2 linked regions of the Macaca fascicularis genome follow. The protein of the gene in region 1 purifies or fractionates together with the protein of each later gene. This does not show direct contact. Links are inferred from orthologs where the notes say so. Each region holds a gene or a part of one and is shown on either strand. Other genes may lie near its edges. The genes, in order: SEC31A and SCYL1.

Region 1 (3,809 bases):
CACTCCCAGAATGTCAGACACGAAGCTTTCCTGATACTTTCAGTACAGAGAATGGCTTTCCACAAAGCCACTGACCAGCAAAGGCTGCACATATTCATACTCAATGTCTGATGAACAATAAAACCCAGAAGTTGTTTTTTCATGCAGACAAGTAGCCAATGATTGAAAATATTCAATGTGTGCTACCAGAAAATGAAATTTCACTTAAGACTGGCTTTGTGGAATGTTGTTGCAATACAGGGGTATCCTAAGCAAACTAAGTAAAATCAGTTGCTTTAAATGTAAATATGCCTCCGATATCTAAAACATTTAACTATCTTTAACATCTCTGCAAAGCTTTATAAGATGATCTATCTACTTTTAACAATTTCAATATAAGCTCAAAAAGAAATCCCAAATCTGAGTTTCTTGCATAGCACCATTATGTTCTGTTTATGTGCCAAATACCATTTTGTTGATGAGAGGCAGTAAAGCTTGGTGGTTGAGAGCATGAATTCTAGAGCCAGAATGTCTGGGTTTGAATGCTGGCTCTGACCTTAAGTGTTACTTACCTGCTCTTTGCCTTAATTCTCTGGTCTGTAAATAAAAATGACAAATCTATCTGCCACAAGTTATTGTGAAGATTAAGTACATTTATATATAAAAAGCAATTAAATATATTTCTATATGTAATGCAAACTATGTAAGTGCTAGCTTTATTACTTTTGTGCAAACTTTTTAGAAATATACCTTGTAGGACTTCAAGCAATAATTATAGAAGAACTCCATAAAGGATTCTTTTATTTTATTTATTTATTTTGAGATGGAGTCTCTCGCTGTCACCCAGGCTGGAATGCAGTGGCACGATCTCGGCTCACTGCAACCTCTGCCTTCTGGGTTCAAGTGATTCTCCTGCTTTAGCCTCTTGAGTAGCTGGGACTACAGGTGCATTCCACCACACCCAGCTAATTTTTTGTACTTTTAGTAGAGATGGGGTTTCCCTATGTTGGCCAGGATGGTCTTGAACTCCTGGCTTCAAATGATCCACCTACCTTGGCCTCCCAAAGTGCTGGGATTACAGGAGTGAGTCACCACGCCTGGCCAAGGATTCTTCTAATTAAGCAAAATATGATTAAAAAAAAAATACATACAGGGTCTGTTGCTGAAGAAAGGCAGCGCTGAATAAGATCCTCAAATGTGGTCTTTAGAATGAGGTGTTCATCTGGAATAGGTTTCTTGGTAATTTTTTTTGTTGGCAAAGACTGCACATGCTGGAAGAAACACAACAAAAACTGATCAGAAACGACCAGAAGCTACCTTATATACACAATCTTGAATCTATATGATAAACAGAAACTGACAACCTTATAGATAGACCTATTCAAAATCAAATTAAAATTTAATGTGGGAAATCACTTAGGATAAGTAAAAATAAAAACCAGATATCTAGTACAAAGTGTAGGCATTCTTCCTACAGTTTGGATTTTCATATACAGGACTGGATACAAAGTAGTTGATTAATTAGGTAACATATGTTGGTCAATATTGTTTATAACTGATGGGAAATAAGTATGTGCCAGCAGAGAATAAAAACAAGGCACTGGAAAACACACTTGGCTGGTTAGAATGGCTGCTTGCTCTGCTTGTTGGCTCATTCTCGTGTGTGCTGGCATTCTTCTATTCTTTTACTCTTAGAGGTTGTTAATTGGGCTGTGATCAAAACTGTAAGATGAAGCCAAAGATTAAGAGAGAAGACATCCCGATGCTGCTGAGTGTACAGATGAAAGAACAAAGAAGAAATGGTTAAGTTTTATTAGTTCATTCTTTCACTCATTCAAAAAATATTAGGCAACTATGTGCCAGGCACTGGCTATGTACTACTGGTGAGCCAATACAGAAATGATCTCAGTTCTCAGGGAGTTTACAGGCTAATGGAAGAGGCACAGTTTAAAAACATCATCAATGTATGTAAAATGGCAACTGTAGTACGTTAACACTTGGTGGAAACAAAAGATGCTATAACTGAGATTTGACTGAGGGAAGGGAAGGCTCTCTTCAGGAAATTTTACTGGAAGGACAAAATGGAGTTGAACAGTTAAGTGAGGAAAAAAGAGCATTCCAGATGAAAGGAATAACATGTACAAAGGAAGGATCACGGTAAAAGGGAGCTAAAAGGTCAGTATAGCTGGAGCAGAGAGAACAAGGAGTATGAGCTGAGGCCTTCCAGACAATGTTGAATATTTCGGTCCTTATCCTGAGAACGATGGGAAGCTGTAATGTTTTAGGCAAAGACGAAAAAAGGCCAAATTAGAGATGGATCAAAGTAGATATCAGCAGACCAATTAGGAGGTTCCTGCACTGATGAAGATTAGAGATGAAGGTAGCATGGACTAGAGTAAAAACGTGGAGAAGAAAGGATTCAAAAAATATTTTGGAGTGATATCGACAAGATTTCGGGAGACAGATTTAAAATAGAGGTTAAAGGGAAAAGTGTATAAAGATGATCCCCAGGTTTTTGCCTGGATTCCACAGAAAAGATTATGGTGCCACTCACTGATAACAGGAAACAAGGAAAGATGACTAAGTTTGGGAAGAAGAGTATGAGTTAGGTTTTGGACATGCTGAGGTTGAAGTGCCTCCAAGACATCCAAGTAGGCAAGCAGCTGGGTATATAGCCTGGCTGAACACTATGTATCTTTCTCTTTTGATGGTAACTAAGCTTCAGGTCTAGGCGAGTACAGCATGAGAACCCAGGTCTAAACAAATATAAGGGCTAAGTAGCTTCCCAAAATAACACAGGCTTGTAATCTTTTTTATTTTTATATTTAAATAAAACTGTAATTTTTATTTTTCCAGAAAGAACCATTTCTTCTCATCTTTGTCAAAATGTTTTTAAAATGCAACTCTTAACATTTAAAAATTCCTTAGGCATATTATCTCTTTCTTTTTTTTTTTTTTGAGATGGAGTCTCGCTCTGTTGTCCAGGCTGGAGTGCAGTGGTGCGATCTCAGCTCACTGCAACCTCTGCCTGCTGGGTTCAAGCAATTCTCCTGCCTCAGCCTTCTGAGTAGCTGGGACTACAGGCGCATGCCACCACGCCCAGCTAATTTTTGTATTTTTAGTAGAGACAGGGTTTCACCATGCTGGCCAGGCTGGTCTTGAACTCCTGACCTCAGATGATCCACCCGCCTCGGCCTCCCAAAGTGCTGGGATAACAGGTGTGAGCCACTGTGCCCAGCTTCAGGCATATTATCTCTTAACAGTAAAGTATACTCTTGTGACAAGAGATACAATCTTTACAAATTTGACTTCAATGAATCAAAGACAGAATCAGACAGTAGAACTAGTTTTTTTACTTGGGCAGGAGTTTGTTTCATCTTCTTATATTGAACTTTGATCTAAGCTCTTTATTTCTCATGAATAGATCAAAATACTTAACTATGTCTAAGTGTGTTATGTAGAAATGTGTTCAATTTTTCAACATTCAGGACTTTGCCAACTGGCTGTTTGTGTTGTGAAAAGCAAGTAAAAAATGTTTTTCTCTATCTGAAGATAAGGCTGTATTATTAGCTTTTATACATACACATAAAAATATATAACTCACTACATTTTTATTTTCTATTTTAAAGAGAAAAATCTTTGGAAACAGCTTTTACTTAGCAACCTCAGATGCAGAGATGATTCATCTGATTTTAAATTATGGCTACTGACCTAGCCAAGTTATAGTAAACACTCTTAAATGTATAACCTTCTTTTATGTGGCCATGTAATTGAAAAATAATATACATACATGATCAATCTTTAAAAAAAAAGTTACTATTTTTTGTTTA
Region 2 (4,298 bases), on another chromosome or scaffold:
GCTGTGTGAGTGGCCGCTGTGTGCCGCGGCCAGGCGGCGCCGTGTGCGAGTGTCCCGGCGGCTTCCAGCTCGACGCCTCCCGTGCCCGCTGCGTGGGTGAGCAGGGCTTTGGGGTGGGGCAGGGGAGGGGCCTGTGGTGAGGAGCCGCCTGGAGGCTCAGCGAAGCCGCACCTGTCGCCCCACCTGCAGACATCGATGAGTGCCGAGAGCTGAACCAGCGTGGGCTGCTGTGCAAGAGCGAGCGCTGCGTGAACACCAGCGGCTCCTTCCGCTGCGTCTGCAAAGCCGGCTTCGCGCGCAGCCGCCCGCACGGGGCCTGCGTTCCCCAGCGCCGACGCTGACACCGCCCTCGGCCCAGACCTCGGTGATCACTGAGGGGTTTCTGCGAGCTCGGCCTCACTTCTGCCCCGACTTGGGGCTCGGACCCAGGGACGTTGGGGCCCGCAGACCCTCCCTGCGCCTTGAGACCCGCGGCGCCCCTACCGGCCCCACCCGGTTGGCGGGCGGTTGTAAGGTCCCCGGCGGGCGCTGTCTGCCTTCCTCCCAGAGGGTGTTTCCTAGAAACTGATAAATCAGATCGTGCCTCTTTATCCTTGTCTTTCGAAGCAAATTGATGTTCACGTCTGACGTGGGCGCGGGCTGCACAGCGCGGCACCAGACCCCAGCCACCTCCCACGGGCTAGACTGGGCCCGGCACAGGGGGGTGTGAAATAGAATTTATTGTGGCTCTGATTATGTACACGTGAGATGGCCTGGCCGGGCCGGCCGGGCTCACATGGTTTGTACAATAAATACATCTGTGGGGCGGGCTCTCCGCGGCCGGGAAGCGCCACCGCACGGTTCAGTCCAGCTTCCGGGCTCCCAGCTTCATGGGGCCCTTGGCCGCCTTCCTCTCGGCGCGTTTGGCTTCCATCTCCCGCCGCCGCTCCTCGCGCTTCTTCCGGGCCAGCTCAGCCTTGGCCTGTCCTGGGGTTAGGAAGGGAGCCCCGGTCTCAGCTCTCCAGCCAGTGCCTGCCTGGGGCCTGTAGGGACGGGCTGGTCGGGGAGCCCTAGTCTTCAGCCCGCCCAGGGGAAGCACTTACGACTTTCCGTCTCCAGGCCCTCCCAGTTGTCCTCAACCCACGAGTCCGGCCTAGGCTGTAAAGAAAAGTGTGGGCTGCAGTGGGGCCCACTTCGGGCTGAGGCCCACCATCTCTACCCTCTCGCCAGACCCATGCTGGGTACCTGGGTGCTGGGACGTGCAGACAGGGTAGCGAAGGGGTCACCCTTGTCGCTGGACTCTGGGCCACCCCAGTTATACTCGCTGGCCAGCCGCGTACCCTCGAGAGGTGGCTCCTGGGAGCTTGGCTCCTGCCAGCCCTGTTCCCAGGAGCCCTCAGCTTCCCAGCTGCTCCAGTCGGACTCTGGGGATTTGGAGGGTTTGTGGTCGGAGTTGCTAACCTGTAGAAGAGCGGGAAGGGGAAGTAGCCCTGGGCCCAGGGAGGAAAGGGCCCCATACACACACACCCGCCTGACCCAGCTCACCTGACTAGCATGGCTCACTTGGCCCCCAGTGCTCCAGTCATCCTGCTGGGCCAGCACGGACTCAGCCTCCTGCTGCAGTGTGGGAAGGGACCACTGACTCCCACCGCATGCTAAAGGGCAAGTGAGCCGGCCCCAGCACTGTCCGAGCCACGGGCCCCACCACTGTCTTTTGCCTTCCCCCTCATTTGCTCCTCAGGCTCTGTTTCCCATATATTAAATGGACGCTGACCCTGGCCTGCCTTCAACCCCCTTTTGAGCCCGGGGAATGAGATCTAGATGCCCCTTCCAACAGCCTTGGGGGCCAGAAAATGCTGCTCTCAGTCAGATGGGGAAATTGGGCCCCCAGCTCTGCCCCATTCTGAGGGCAGCCCCAGTCCTCCCTCAGCCCATCCTGAACCCATGCCCCAAGCAGAACTGGTCTGGTTCTAGACCTAGGAGTTGCCTCTCCTTGCTGACCCCAGGGCTTGGTGGGCACTGGAGGAGGGGGAAGAGGGATGGTGTGGGTGAGAGTGAGGAAGTCCATGGAATGCCCCAGGCACCATCTGCCCAGCCTGCTCCCTGGGGCCACGGGTCGAGTGGGGCCTGCTGTTGGCTCTGGTCTACAATGGCCACTCCATGAAGCCTATGCGCCAGGGATGCTATGCAGATGAGGACAGGCCAACTCCAGCCAGGCCCCACAGAAGCTCCCTGAATGGCAGCCTGTGAATTTGAGCTGGGGTCCCCTGGGGAGGCTCCCTCAGCCCCACACACCTCCAGGCTGCCCCAGTCTTCGTCGTCCCATCTGTCAGCAGCGCTGCTGTCCTCTGCTGTGTCCTTGTCCTCTTCCTGCGTCTCCCAGTGGCCTGAGGTTGTAGGGGTGGCAGGAACAGGGGTGGGAGCCGGGGCAGGAACTCCTGGGGAGCAGAGGCTCACTGAGCTTTCAGGGGAGTCTTGGGACAGGGCAGAGGCTGCTAGGGGAAGGGGGCTACTGGGGAGAAGGGGTGCCAAGGAAGCCCACAGGGTGACTAGAGCCTACCCCAGCCCCTATATTCCCCTCACCATCCCCGGGGGAGTCAGACAGTAACAGTTCCTGGGTGCCTGCAGCTCCCAGCCCTCTCAGTCACTGATGCAGCCAGGCCAGGACGCTCACCTTCAGGTGTGGGTCTTTGGGGAATGTTGGTCTCTGCGGGGGCAGTGGTGGGGTGCACACGGATCAGCTTGGAGGTGAGTGAGGAGACCCCGGTCACGGCCCAGCCTGCCCAGCTGGCTGCGGCTCCTCCCATGCCAGGGCTGGAGGCTGCATGGACATCCTTCTCTGGGCAGTGGCATGAGAGAGAGGTGGGTATGGGCACGTCAGGTACCCATGGGTGACAGGACAGCAGGAATTGACAGTGCCCTGTAGCCGCCACTCCCTTCTCCAGGCCTGATTTCTCCCATCTGTGAAGGGGGAGCTGAGTCAAGTCTGCTCACAAGGGCCTTTCAGAAACTCCAGTGGGGGTGGGACACAAACAGGTCACTGTCAAGTACATAGCAGGGAAAGAAGGAACACGAGTGTAGGCCACTCACCCACTTCCTCCAGCTGGGTCGGGTCCTCCGACACAGACTCCAGTTTGGACAGGAAGCTCCGAATGGCCTTGAAGGCCTGTGGGGTAACAAGGGGCAGAGCTGGGGCCTCTGGGGTTCCCAAGAACCTACCAGGCCAGCTAGGGCCTGACATCCCCTACAGCCCCAGCCCAAGGCCAGGCCCAGCTGTGCCTCACCTGGTCCCGCACAGATTTCTCAGGATCTACAGTGAGACCGCAGAGCACAGGCAGGATCTTGTGGGCACAGTCATTCATTGAGTAGAGATTGTGGGTGGCAGCAAAGCCCAGGACACCCGCAACCCGGGACGGTGCAAACGGGTCCTTAGTGGCTCGGCTGAAGGCGGAAGTAAGGACCCTGTGTCTGGTCTATGATGGGGCAGGAAAGAGGGCTCCTGAGTAGAGGGTCAGTGTTGGGGCCCAGAACCACCAGCCCTTACTTCCCAGAACGGGGCCATACGTAGGCCCCCAGAATCTGAAAAATGTAAATGAATCACTTAAATGGGGAGAGTTTACCTAAAACTCTGGACCTGGGCTTCTCTTCCCAAATCACTGGGCTCCACACTGCCTCAGGGCATGGGACCACAACAGCAGCTATCCCCAGGGCTCGGACACAGGCTCCCTTCCTCCCTGCCCAGCTGATTGTTCATTCCTGTTAACTGTCTGGGCACAGCAAGCATCTGAACTTACAAACCCTGGCTGAGAGGATGCACACAGGCCGGGAGGCCAAGCAGGCCTGGATTCTGATCCCAGATCCACCCTCCTGGCTGTGTGACCTTGGCCAATTCACTCCACCTCTGGGAACCCAGATATGGGACCAACAGCGTTCAGGGCCTGGGTCTCTGGGAGAATGAAGGCCCACACACACAGGACTCCTGGCCCTGGAGGAGGCCGTGGTCCTGCGACAGGGACCAGGCTCCAGCAGTTGTGCAGGACACTCACGCTGGCACTGAGGTATGAGCCGATTTTGCCCAGGCAGACCGTGGTGTTGCAGCGGATGGGACCCTGTTCATCCTTGGCCTGTAGCCGTGCAAAGTGCTTCATCAGCTCCACATTGAGGTTGGCCTCGTTCAGCTTCGGGGCCAGAAGCAGCATGGACTGTGGGGCAGAAATGAGCAGGGGAACTGTGGGCTTTGGTGGGCAAAGAGTCTTGTGCAGGAACAGCCTCCTGGCAGCCCTCATCCCAGAGCACACCCATCAAAGCCTGCAAGGCCA

What was found.
Region 2: the proteins of SEC31A (region 1) and SCYL1 purify together in Homo sapiens (affinity purification with mass spectrometry; 3 studies listed by BioGRID and IntAct, counting the BioPlex papers as one, with this or other methods). This does not show direct contact. The link is inferred for Macaca fascicularis from reciprocal best matches to the Homo sapiens genes SEC31A and SCYL1.

The regions. Positions count from the first base shown.
Region 1 is NC_088379.1:51,024,974-51,028,782, reverse strand, and holds part of SEC31A (protein transport protein Sec31A), read right to left. Parts: intron 1,251-3,809; coding exon 1,131-1,250; intron 1-1,130. UniProt on the Homo sapiens protein: Component of the coat protein complex II (COPII) which promotes the formation of transport vesicles from the endoplasmic reticulum (ER).
Region 2 is NC_088388.1:8,833,346-8,837,643, forward strand, and holds the end of SCYL1 (N-terminal kinase-like protein), read right to left. Parts: intron 4,182-4,298; coding exon 4,026-4,181; exon of another isoform or gene 3,600-4,025; intron 3,453-3,599; coding exon 3,264-3,452; intron 3,146-3,263; coding exon 3,070-3,145; intron 2,819-3,069; coding exon 2,654-2,818; intron 2,418-2,653; coding exon 2,275-2,417; intron 1,597-2,274; coding exon 1,525-1,596; intron 1,441-1,524; coding exon 1,225-1,440; intron 1,138-1,224; coding exon 1,083-1,137; intron 967-1,082; coding exon 842-966; 3' UTR 703-841; downstream 1-702. Other genes in the region: LTBP3 (latent-transforming growth factor beta-binding protein 3), read left to right, coding at 1-96, 190-341. UniProt on the Homo sapiens protein: Regulates COPI-mediated retrograde protein traffic at the interface between the Golgi apparatus and the endoplasmic reticulum. Involved in the maintenance of the Golgi apparatus morphology.